Cricetulus griseus: one gene and its partners. The protein of the gene in region 2 purifies or fractionates together with the protein of the main gene of each other region. This does not show direct contact. Links are inferred from orthologs where the notes say so. Each region holds a gene or a part of one and is shown on either strand. Other genes may lie near its edges.

Region 1 (2,792 bases), on a different chromosome or scaffold from region 2:
CTTCCTTTCACTTTGTAAGGATGCAACAGGGACACAGACCTCCACCCGCTCCACCACGAGTCCCTCATGCAACATTTTGAGGCTGCCCGGTTGCTGTGTCTGACCTTGAACACTCCAAAGGCTAATAAGGTTGAAGGCAAGCATGCCAAAGTGTCTCTGCACAGGCGGGTAGGTAAGGAAAAAACAAAAAACAATTCTGGGGACAGAGCCATTTTCATGTTTGTTTTATTGGAAGCAAGACTCCAGCAGTAGGACTCAGGGGAGGAGGCGTGGAAAGTTTTGTCCTGGGTCTCCTATCCACCACCATGCAAAAGGGGGGGGGGGGATGCTAAGAGGAAGAAAAGCTAAAAAGGGGAATTGCCAGGCGGTGAGTGGGCAGAATAGGGTCCTAACATTTTCAACTTGGCCACCCTCAAGGAATCTACGTCGCAGCCCCGGCCCTCAGTCAACAAACAGCAAGAATGATTTCAAGACCCTCAACTGTCAGTTTTTGCGCATTCTGGGTGCTTTTAAAGTCTGGGTCCCCAAGAAGGCTCAAGAGTCTTCACTATCCACCATGCTTCACTAAAAAAGATCCCAGGATGGCCTAGAAAAAGTGGGGGTGGAGTTCTGTGGCTTCTGGCAACACTTCCCACAAAGTTTTCTTGGACTTCAGGGGATCCTCTTATCATTCCTGAGCTCCCTCTCTGGTCGCCTTGGGATCCCTGCTGTCAATCTTCCAGTCCAGGAACATGGGCCCCTTAAAACCTTGGTATGAAAGTGCACGAGGATGTGGGAGTGTTGAGGTGGCTCAGAGCCAGGAGTTCTCAGGCGGTCGAGTCCTCATTCTCAGCCCCTGGCTCAGGCTGAGACCGTTTAGCGGTGCTTTCTCCAGCAGCAGATTCCCCCAGGCTCCTCTTGGACGTCGACACCGTAGGAGTGGACGAAGGACCAGGATTGAGGTTCGGAGGCTGGTAGCCGAGTTGTAGTGGATCCAATGCGTCCTTTGAAAGTAGGATGGCCAGGCTCGGTACATTCTTAAGTACACTGAGACTGGCGGCCGGATCGTCAGGCGTCTGACCCCGCGTGGGCCCAGGCGGGAGGCTCTGCCACACCTCGCGCACGCTCCGGTAGCGCAGCCGCGTGACCTGGTGTAAGCCCGCCAGGCGGCGCTTGAGGATCTCGACGCACGTGACGGTTTTGGTGGTGGCCCGGCCGCAGCCGCTGAAGACGATGGCGCGCGTGGCTGGCTGCGCCATGCTGGCGGTGGCAAAGGCCAGCAGGTTGCGGATCTTGCTGCCCTCCTTGACCCGCATGTGTACAGCACCGGGCGCCAGGTCTGCGAAAGGGCCAGAGTTCAGGCTGCCACCCTCATCACCGTCCCCCGCCGGCGCCTCCTCCGAGCGCACCTTACGGAAGTTCTCCATGCGCCGTCGTCGCTGGGATCGCAGGTTTTGCCATGGGGTCGCTTCAAGCCCGGGGCTGCATGGCCGGGGTCGCGCCGGGCGACGGCCGGTAGGGGTTGGGATGCCGGCACCGAGTGGAAGCTGAGGGTGGGCTGTGGACACGCAGTCTCCAGCCCAGATTCCTACCGGGTGGTGCTGCTCTACTCTGAGCCCTCGGCGCCTTGTGCTCCGCGCCTTTAGCAGAAGCTCCGCCTGGGAGCCCGAGAGGCCCCGCCCCTTCGTCCAGGCCCCGCCCCAACTCTGCGTGACTTGTCCGAGTCCCAGCCCAGCCAGCCTTTGGGATCAAGCGCTAGTGCTCAGCGGCTGGGGTCACAGCGCCAGGGGTGACTTGGGAGGCGAAGTTTCCCGAAGTAACCATCGGTCCTCCCTGAACCAGTCCTCACGTAGGAGCAACCTAAATAAAAAACCATGCTTGAGGTACAGACGCCGATTCAAACCCGGTTCCCGAGCCTTGGGGGTTCCAGCTCAAGGGCATCCCTAGACCCCCTCCTAGGTAAGAGATTTCCGAACCATCTCCCGGGGCCTCACTCCTCCAACCCTCCAGAGACCCCCCCTCTCTCTCCTTAGTATTCTTGCCTCAAGGACAGCCAGTGCATGGTCAGCAGGGTGTGAGAGGAGTTGGCTCCGCTACACGTTGCGCCTTCCTAGGATTCGGACCGCTACGTCGCAGCATGGTCCTTGCCTAGCTGCTTAGAGAGATCTATCTAGGTTTCAGCCTCGCTCTTCTTAGCCAGACCTCCAGGCTCCTGGTACCCTCACACCCCTGAAATGCAGGAAGTGATGCGCAGGGCCAGCCTAAAGTGAATGGGAAGAAAACGAGACCATTTCTTCCAAGGCGTTAACGTTGTTGTATGTATTCATGCCTGAAGGTCCTTTACTAGAGCTGCACGCATTCTTATCTGCCTGGCTCAGTCCCTGCCGACACGGATTTATCACTTCCAAACCCATGAGGAATCAGTCTTGGCTCCTAGCAATCCAGAGGGCTGTTTTTGCTGAAAGGGACTGAGAGGTTTTGAGAGATGGGAAGCGGGGTGGAGTTGAAGCCTTGGGGGCGGATTTTGGGATTTGGGGTAACCTCTGGAAACTCCATCGAGCATAAGGAGAGGCTCGGGCTCTGCTGCGAGGTGAGATGAACAATAGAAAGACACGGCTAGGGACGAAGGACTGGTGGGAGGAAGAATCTTTCATAAGGAGTGAGGGAGGGACCATGCATGTCCTTCAGTCTCCAGCCTGGCTTTCACAGAATGCAGGGAGCCTGACAGACCTGCTAAAGCGAGGGCAAGGAAGAAGCACCGAAGGCTGTAGGGAGCAGGTGACCCCGAGGGTATTGTGAGCACGACGGTACCT
Region 2 (4,350 bases):
TAAGTTAATATTCAGAAACTACTCAACTAAGTTAATAATCAAGCTACTTAATTTTTCCTCATCTGCTAAGTATGGATTCGACTTTCTTCACTGAGTTGTTGCAAAGGCTAATCAAATTTGGTAAGATACTTAGCCATCACCTGAAGAGGACACAGGAAAGAGGAGACTGAACACTATGGACAGATGGAGAAGTGATACATGCAGCTAACCACATACATGGTCTATCCTCTGCAGGACCTTTTGAAAACAAGTGAAGAACTTCAGTATTTTACTATGGTCTTTCCCATAGCTCTTCATCTTGCCTTTTTCATATGAGACACTGAGTGCCTTTTCTTTTATGTATACATAAATGTAACTTTTACTATCAATTAAAATGAAGTAAAATAAACACAAAACACACTTTGAATACATGGTCTCAACTGGTTAAAATTCAGTAAAGTTTTTTTATATGCCATACTAAGACTAGCCAGACAACACTGGATTAATTTTGTTAGTATCACAGAGATAAAGGGCATGGCATGATAAAGGAGCCAGTTAGTCAGCAGCCCTAAACATGTATACATCAAATAAGAGAGCTTCAAAATGTATGAAGGAAAACTTGACAGACTGCAAAGAGGAATATACAGATCCACAATTATTACAGAAGGCAATGTGAGTATTTTCTTTCAATAATCAATTTAAAAAAGCAAGTAAAAACTCAGCAGGAATGGTGGACTTGACTACTCCAGCCAACGTGATTAGATAGGTATTTAGAAAGTATTCCACCCAACAAGAATCATGGATCAGCAGTTTACCAAAATGGACTCTTTTCTGGGCATAACATGATTTCCAAGTAAGTTAAGTAATTCAATTATTTTACTCCGGTGGAATGAAATTAGGATTCATTAATGAGGTATCTGAAAAAAAGTCCTGATAATTAAATTCGAGTTCCTTTATATTGTTGAACTGTCATAAGATGTTTACATTCTTCCTAATTCTTTAATAGCTGTAGTATTAGTAGTAGAAGTGAAGTAGTTTTTATCTATATCTTAGATCCCTGAGTGCCTTTTCTTACCTTTCTTTACAAATGTGTGGATGAACTCATGTGTAACTAGTTCATGAAGAGGTAAATTCTTCACAGAGTAATAGGGCCCAAATTCCATGGCCAGGCTTTTCAGTTCTTTTGGTAGCAGCCCACATTCAGGAATAAGAAATGAAACCTGTTGGAATATAAAAGTACAAGCAAAGTCATTCTTTTATTAACATCATGTTTTTAGGAGTGAAATATGAAAATTGCTAGCTATTCCTTCACAGGTTTTACTGGAACATACAAACACAGGCAAAAGTCTTTTAAATTTTTTTTTTCCTGGGGCTGGAGAGATGGCTCAGTGGTTAAGAGCACTGCCTGCTCTTCCAAAGGTCCTGAATTCAATTTTCAGCAACCACATGGTGGCTCACAGCTATCTGTAATGAAATCTGGTGCCTTCTTCTGGCCTGCAGACATACATGCAGGCAGAACACTGTACATAATAATTAAATAAATCTTAAAAAATTTTTTTTTTTCTCCTTGAACTCAGAGATCTACCTGCCTCTGTCTGGGATTAAAGGTGTGTACCACCTCTGCCCTGCTAGGAACAAATCTTTTTTTTTTTTTCATTTGGTGTTTTGAGACAGGGCTTCTCTGTATAGCTTTGGAGCTTGTCCTGGAATCGGCTTTGTAGACGAGGCTGGCCCCTCTGCTTCTGGAGTGCTGGGATTAAAGGTGTATACCACCACCACCCAACCCGGAACAGATTTTTTAATCTATCAATCTCAGGCAAACATATTTGATTACTCCAAGTTTCTCATTTCTACATTGCAATGTGCGGCGAGTGACTAAATAGAAATGTAATGGAAGTCTTGCTTAAATTTTATCTTTTGCACATGAGGAGCACATGTTATGTCCTTCACACTTTATATTCAAGGAAGTACAGTGTAATTCACCATGCCTTGATTTGTTTACTCTGGAGTCACAGAAAACCAAAGGAACTGTTCCTGGGAGCATAAGGTGTTTAGAGACATAGAAACAGAAGTGCTCCTGGATGCTCCCATTTTTGTAGACAAACGTTAAGTAACAGTCAGAGATTTCAACCAAGTGGAGAAGTAAAATCCGCGCGGATCTCAAATGATCCCCAAGGGCACATCTAAAGTCCGTCTCGCAAAGCTCCAACAACCAGCCTGCGCCTGAGAAACAAGGACGCCGGTTAATGTTTCTGAGAAACGTTATCAAGCCGATATTTAAGGTGTAAAAAGCGTAAGCCCTTATCGTCTTCAGGCGAGTTTTTTGGAGTTCCTTATTTGTCAGTCAAACCCGGTAGTATTTTGGAAAGAGGCATAAACGGAGCTACGGAGAGACCAAACCTAAATTTAGGGCAAAAGGCAGCTACATGTCATACTCCTAACTCCTCGGGGCCTGCTCAACCCTTCACCTGGCTACCGCGGACAGTGGGAGAACCAGTTCTGAACCCAGCAATTACCAGCCAAACTCAGAAAACCAACACAACACTGCGCTGTTCCTTAAAGGCGGAGCACCACCCTGCGTCCCAGCTCATGCTGGGAGTTGCAGTCCTACACGCCTCCAAGAAAGGCGCTCGGCAAACTAAAGAGACTACAGTCCCCAGCATGCTTGGCGACAGACTCTGTCCGCCCCCTCAAGACGAGGAGGTCCCGCCGAGGGAAACCCAGAGAGGCTCTACCCTAAACCAAAGAAGGCCGGGTGGACCTGACTCACCCTGTAATTGTGATAATGAGTCTCCACGTGTTGTTTGTGACGAGACTTTTCGTGGCCGAAGTTGGATTTCTCACAGACCATTAAGTGCCGCGGAGCGGCGAAAAGCCGGCGCAGCGTGGCCATGTTCAGCACGAGTCTTGAGTCGCCCCGCCTTCCGGATCGCCCCGCCTTTCGGATCGCCCCGCCTTTCGGATGCCCCGCCTTCCTGTCGGCCCCGCCTCCCGGACCGCCCCTCACTCCACCATTTGCCCTTTCTATTGCCACAGCCACGCCCCTAACCCTTCCTTGCTTCCCCTTTGCTGTCAGTTCCTAGGGGCATTGGGTAGGAGTTGAATGAGCTTTATTAGGCTTGTAAAGAACTGTGAAGGTTCTCGAGGACCTGACACATCCATTCCATTCCACAGACTTCTCAGGGGAGGAACAGCGCATACCTGAGCAGGACTCAGAGAAGGCTGTACTCTGCCACGTTATAAAAGGGATGATAATCCCTGTGGAGGGAGACTCTCTCACCCTAGATACACGCAGGAGGGCCGAGGTCCTACCCCAAATGATGTGACAGACTTGGGGATTGGGATGGGGAGTTGGAGGGGGAAATGGGAAGCCGGGAGGGAGAAGGAACTGGGATTGGTATTAAAATAAGATTTTAATTTAAATAAAAATTAATTTTTAAAAGATGACAAGACACAGCAAAGGTCCAGTAGTCAGGAAAGTCACCTGCTTTGCGACACACTTTCCTCACTCCTCACATGGTCTCCTTCCTAGTGCACACCTACCCACAGGCCCCTAAGTGAAAGGTTCAGGCATTATGCTGGCCTGCCCCTGTTACCTGGTGGAATCCACTCAGGCAGAACCCTGGTCAACCCAAGGTTCCATGGGAACTAAGTCTGCATGGAGGTGCAGAGGAACCCTTTAAAAGATAGGCACCTGCCCATTTACGCTCTCTGTTTCTCTGTCCCGCTCTCTGGGCGCTCTGTTCCCCTCTCTCTGTTTCCCCCGCTCTGTCTCTCTATGGCCACCGGCCAGTCGGTCAGCCATTTACCCTGTTCCTCTTCTTAGTCTCCCCATTCTGCCAGGCCTTATAATAAACTTATAGTCAATATGTATGTCTCAGCATTTCTCTTTTCTTCTTTTTAAACAAAACAATAACACTAAGTTCCCACTGAGCCCTACCGAAAAGTGGGGGGAAATATTGTGGTATTTCTACTTCCACCAGGTTGCCTTTGTTTTGCGTTTTGATTGTATGATTTATTTTTTCATTTACAACATTTCTACTTGTGTCATTTCCCCCCAAATCTCAGTTTTTTTGCTGAATTGTACTTCCAAGTAGTTGATTTTTTTAAAAGCCATATTGTTGATTTTTCTCATCTATTTTGCTAAACATATGTGTGCAGCTGACTTTCCTCTCCATGTCCTTTTGTTGGCGTCTGTTTTTGAGGGCTTATTTTTACTGGTAAACTTCTGAAATCACCCAGCATTTTACCTATTTCAGTAGCTTTGAATCCAGTTGTTGAGTTGTTTGGAGAGAGGGTCTCATTATATATCCTGACTGGCCTGGGACTCTGTGGCAAGTCTTTCCCTGTCCCACCAACCAGCTCCCAGAT
Region 3 (4,233 bases), on a different chromosome or scaffold from region 2:
GTGTGTGTGTCTGTGTGTCTGTGTGTCTGTGTGTCTGTGTGTGTTTTTGTTTGTTTGTTTTTCAGGAACGGGTTTTCTCTGTGTAGCTCTGGCTGTCCTTGAAATGAGACAGCTTCTTGCTTCTCCCTCCCACGTGCCGGGATTAAAGGCAAGCTCCACACAGCCTGGCAGAATATGCTCTCTTTATGAGCCACATGTGAAGCTTCAGCCCAACTGACAAAGCTTGCTGACATACCCAGATAGAATCTGTAACATTCACTTATGAAATAGGCTGAGCACACTGAACAGGGCAGAGAAGCAAGAACAAGAGAGGTTTCAGGCACAGGCTGTCACTGTCATTCCCTACAGAGTGGGAGATGACATGAAATCAAGGAATCCAAGTCCCTCAGAGTGACTCTGGTACCCTAGGAAAGGAGCCTGGCACAAGAAGACATCAGCACTAAAGACCTTGATGGGGCCTAATGTACTGAATGTAAAGATGAGAAGTAATCCATGGGAAGGACAGCTAGACCAGACTCTGAGCCATCTTTGTTGCCACGTCTCCTGCTCCCAGCCCACCTTTCAAAGATTGTACCTGTACATCGTGCTCTTTGGCTTCTTTATGAGAAAGGGCATGGTAAATCACAGCTGGGGGATAAAAGACAAAAAGAGAAGATTACTTCCTGTGAGGAGTGAGTATAATATCCAAGGCTTTTCCAACTATGACTTCTGAATAAGCACTCTTATTCAGATGAGGACTACTGGGTTAGTATGAAAAGGCAAAGCTTTCTTGGATGATCCTTCTATTATACTCTGCAGTGCCAGGAGATTAAACTCAGTGGGGTTTAATGCAGGGCAGGCTTCACCATGGATCCATGCCCCCGACCCTACTCAATGCGGCTTATTTACACATTTATTTAAAGACAGGCTTTCAGTTTGTATCCTGGGCTGGCTTAGAGTTCGCTATATAGCCCACAGTGGCCTTAAACCCTCAGTACTCCTGTCTTAGGCACCCAAGTGCTAGTTGCTGGATTATACACGTGTACCACCACAATTATCCCAGATACATTTTACTCTTCCCTTGGCCAGAGATTTGTCCTGGAAATTCCCAGGATGAGGTTTAAAAGAGCACCTCTCAAAGCTTAACTTGTTTAAGAATCACTGGACTCTTATAAAGACACCGGTTTTAATTTCTACTCTAGACTCTGCATGTCCAAAAAAATTCCTCAATGGTGCACATTGATTGATTGAAAATACAAGTTATAATTATGCTTGGGTGGTTGCTCACTTAGTAGTGAAGACACTAAAAGTGAGGTGATATTAATGGCTAGGGTGTGGTTGATTGAAACTGAACAATTTGCAGAGTACAAGAAGTTTAAAACAGATTTTTAAGTCTTTAATCCATAAAATTGGAATGTACCCTGACCAGATAGATACAACAGTCTTTCTTCAAATTCTAAATATGTCCAGCATGATGCCAAACTTTCTCTAAACCTCATGCTCCTGTTTGGTATTTGTTTGGAGGAAACCACCATGGTGGTGGGGGCAGAGTACAGGAATAAAGGAGATAAGAAAGAGCAAATGACCAGAATATGTAGCTCACACTACACCCTATACACTCAGTCTCTGAGCTGGGTGTGGTGGCACACACAGTTGATCCCATCACTTCAGAGGGTGAGGCAGCCTAGCTTACATAGTGAGTCCCAGCTCAGTCAGGACTACATAGCTGACCTCATCCCAACAGCTACAATAACAAACCAACAAACAAAAGCCCATGTCTGTTCTCTTGTGCTTCCCTGGGTACATGTCTGACCAGAGAGTTACCAGTTTTACATACAAAATCTTTAGTTCTCCCTTGAACTGCAGATTAAGACTATACTTTGTTTCTTGAGGAAAATGTGCAGGGCCTGGGACCCCAGGAATAATGTTGCTTTACCTACTGCAGATGCCTAGCATGAGAGCTGGAAGACTTCCTGCTGCAGTACACATGTGACAGCTCTGGTACACTCAGTGCTTGTCAAGTACTTGTTTTACAGCAACACATACATGCATACATACATGCATACATAAGTACATATATATACTCATAGGTGTGTATATAATTTATTTCAATCTCATTAACCTTTCTAAGCCATTCGGAATATAATTATTTCCTTGTATGCACATAATAATATTGACATTGAGTCATGCCAAGGCATCAGAGGATGAAAGGACACAGCAGGGGTGGAAATCATTAGATCAGAGGCTTAATCTTTACATTGTGCTCTCTCTGCTCTAATACCGCTCCAGTGCTTGCTTCCCTTCCTGGCTCATCCCTTTTCTGCTCAAATACCAACGCCTTAGGTTTGTGACACTGCGCCCGGGAAGCTTTTTATAAGAGAAAGGGTGAAAAGCCAGGATGTGGAAGGGAGCAATAGTTATACAGGCAGGCAGTGGTCAGGACAAGCTAAAGGCCTTGGCTGCACCTCTTCCAGTTCTCCTGAGCGTCACCAGTTCCCTGGGGTACCACACACTCATCCTGACATCTATTCCAGCTTAGAGACTGAGTTGGCCGATTCACACTCTGGGCCTCGACTGCTTTTGTGTACTGAGTCAGTTGCCTGGAAGTTGTCTCGGGACTCTGTTGTGACAGGATCCCTGATTCGGCTTCCATTCCCGACCCTCTATGCTGTCATCCACCCCGATTTCGAATCTCTCGTGACACTGACCCTTCATTGTCGGCGGCTTCCCGCGAGCTCTGGTGAAGTCTCCTTCGGGCCTCGCTCACTGCTTCCCTTTATTAGCTCTCTTCAGCAGCTTTCGGCCACCGGGACTCTTTCTGGTTGAAATTTCCGCTGGACAAATCCGCTGTGCCCAAGAAACGACGCGGGCACAGTCCACACACAGACTCGCTCCAGTACTTCAATGGACCCCGATCTGACTTCCGCTATGGCGCCTCGCGTGACGTCATGGAGCCGCGCCGGCCTCTGGCGGACATGCGCCTTGTGTTTGGCTCTGCAGCCGAGGGAGGGGCGAGGGAGGCGGCCGCGTCTGTGGCTGGCGGAGCGGAGCCTGTTTTTCGCTGTCTCTTCAGTTGGTGTCGCCCCCTGGCGGCCACAGTCGGGTTGCGGGTCAGAACACAGGAACACAGGAGGCGAGCTGTCCTGAAGAGGACGCCAGGGAGACTGGGGCCAGGAAGGCCCGAATGCGCCTGAAATAGCGGAGGTAATGGCTGCAGTGAGGGTTTAGGAGTCCTTTGGAGTTTTGTTTTCCCTTCAGTTTTCCCTGACAGGGTTTCCACTGTTTAACAGCGCTGCCCGACCTGGAACTCACTCTGTAGACCAGGCAGCCTCAAACTCAGAGATCCTCCTGCCTCTGCCTCCTGCGTGCTGGATTAAAGGCAACTGCCACAACCCTCAGTTTTATTTATTTATTTATTTATTTATTTATTTATTTATTTATTTATTTATTTATTTTTTAAGCAAGGGAGTCAATGCCCATGGCTGTCCTAGAATTCATTCACAGTATTACTAGTCACATTGTGTAATGATGATGGGGATTTACATCTGTTTCAGCTACTAAGTACTTTTATCACCTCGTTTAAGGGTCTGTTTCCTATGACTGAAAAGAGAGAGTAACTTTAGCTGGCTTTGGTCTCAGAACACTTGCTTTTTAAATTTATTTTTCTCCTCTAAAGACAAAGTCTCCCTGAGTAGCCCAGACATTTGCTATGTAGCCTAGGCTGATCTTGGAAATGGAGTATTCCTGTGTAGGCTTCCCTTCCTGCATCCAACCCAAAAAGCATCCTTGAGACTGGGAGAATTGGTGCTGTCAGTATGATAAAAGACAAAAAGTGATTCTCTGGAATCCAAAGGTCCAGCCAAGCCTGCTCAGGTTGCCTTGGTTCTGTCCAGACACTGCCTTTAATTTCCTGAGTGCTGGATCTAACTTGGAGGGTGGGTAAGGGAAAGCAGTGGTTTTCTTAATAGTGAGCACTATGCAACCTTTTAAAGGCAAAAAGAATTCTCAGAAAAACTTGGGCAAACAACACCGCATCCTTGTTTAAGAAACATAGGCTTTGTAGATCTTTGGGTGATAAGTGTGTGCCATTTTGATCTTAAGCAGTACAGGACATGGTAAGGCACATAGGATTTAGAGTTTGGGGACAGCCTGATAACAGCAGGATGGTCACTAAATGTGTTTCCTTTACAAAGGCCTGCAACTATTTTAGCATCTATCAGAGTGTATTTGAGAAAGTGCCCTTGAAAGCTCATA

What was found.
Region 1: the proteins of Rpp40 (region 2) and Rpp25 purify together in Homo sapiens (affinity purification with mass spectrometry; 3 studies listed by BioGRID and IntAct, counting the BioPlex papers as one, with this or other methods). This does not show direct contact. The link is inferred for Cricetulus griseus from reciprocal best matches to the Homo sapiens genes RPP40 and RPP25.
Region 3: the proteins of Rpp40 (region 2) and Pop4 purify together in Homo sapiens (affinity purification with mass spectrometry; 3 studies listed by BioGRID and IntAct, counting the BioPlex papers as one, with this or other methods). This does not show direct contact. The link is inferred for Cricetulus griseus from reciprocal best matches to the Homo sapiens genes RPP40 and POP4.

Annotation. Positions count from the first base shown.
Region 1 is NC_048597.1:169,125,002-169,127,793, reverse strand, and holds Rpp25 (ribonuclease P protein subunit p25), read right to left. Parts: upstream 1,407-2,792; coding exon 807-1,406; 3' UTR 622-806; downstream 1-621. UniProt on the Homo sapiens protein: Component of ribonuclease P, a ribonucleoprotein complex that generates mature tRNA molecules by cleaving their 5'-ends. Also a component of the MRP ribonuclease complex, which cleaves pre-rRNA sequences.
Region 2 is NC_048596.1:255,639,170-255,643,519, forward strand, and holds the start of Rpp40 (ribonuclease P protein subunit p40), read right to left. Parts: upstream 2,911-4,350; 5' UTR 2,873-2,910; coding exon 2,750-2,872; intron 1,200-2,749; coding exon 1,055-1,199; intron 1-1,054. UniProt on the Homo sapiens protein: Component of ribonuclease P, a ribonucleoprotein complex that generates mature tRNA molecules by cleaving their 5'-ends. Also a component of the MRP ribonuclease complex, which cleaves pre-rRNA sequences.
Region 3 is NC_048599.1:152,153,586-152,157,818, reverse strand, and holds the start of Pop4 (ribonuclease P protein subunit p29), read right to left. Parts: upstream 2,924-4,233; 5' UTR 2,695-2,923; coding exon 2,688-2,694; intron 628-2,687; coding exon 575-627; intron 1-574. UniProt on the Homo sapiens protein: Component of ribonuclease P, a ribonucleoprotein complex that generates mature tRNA molecules by cleaving their 5'-ends.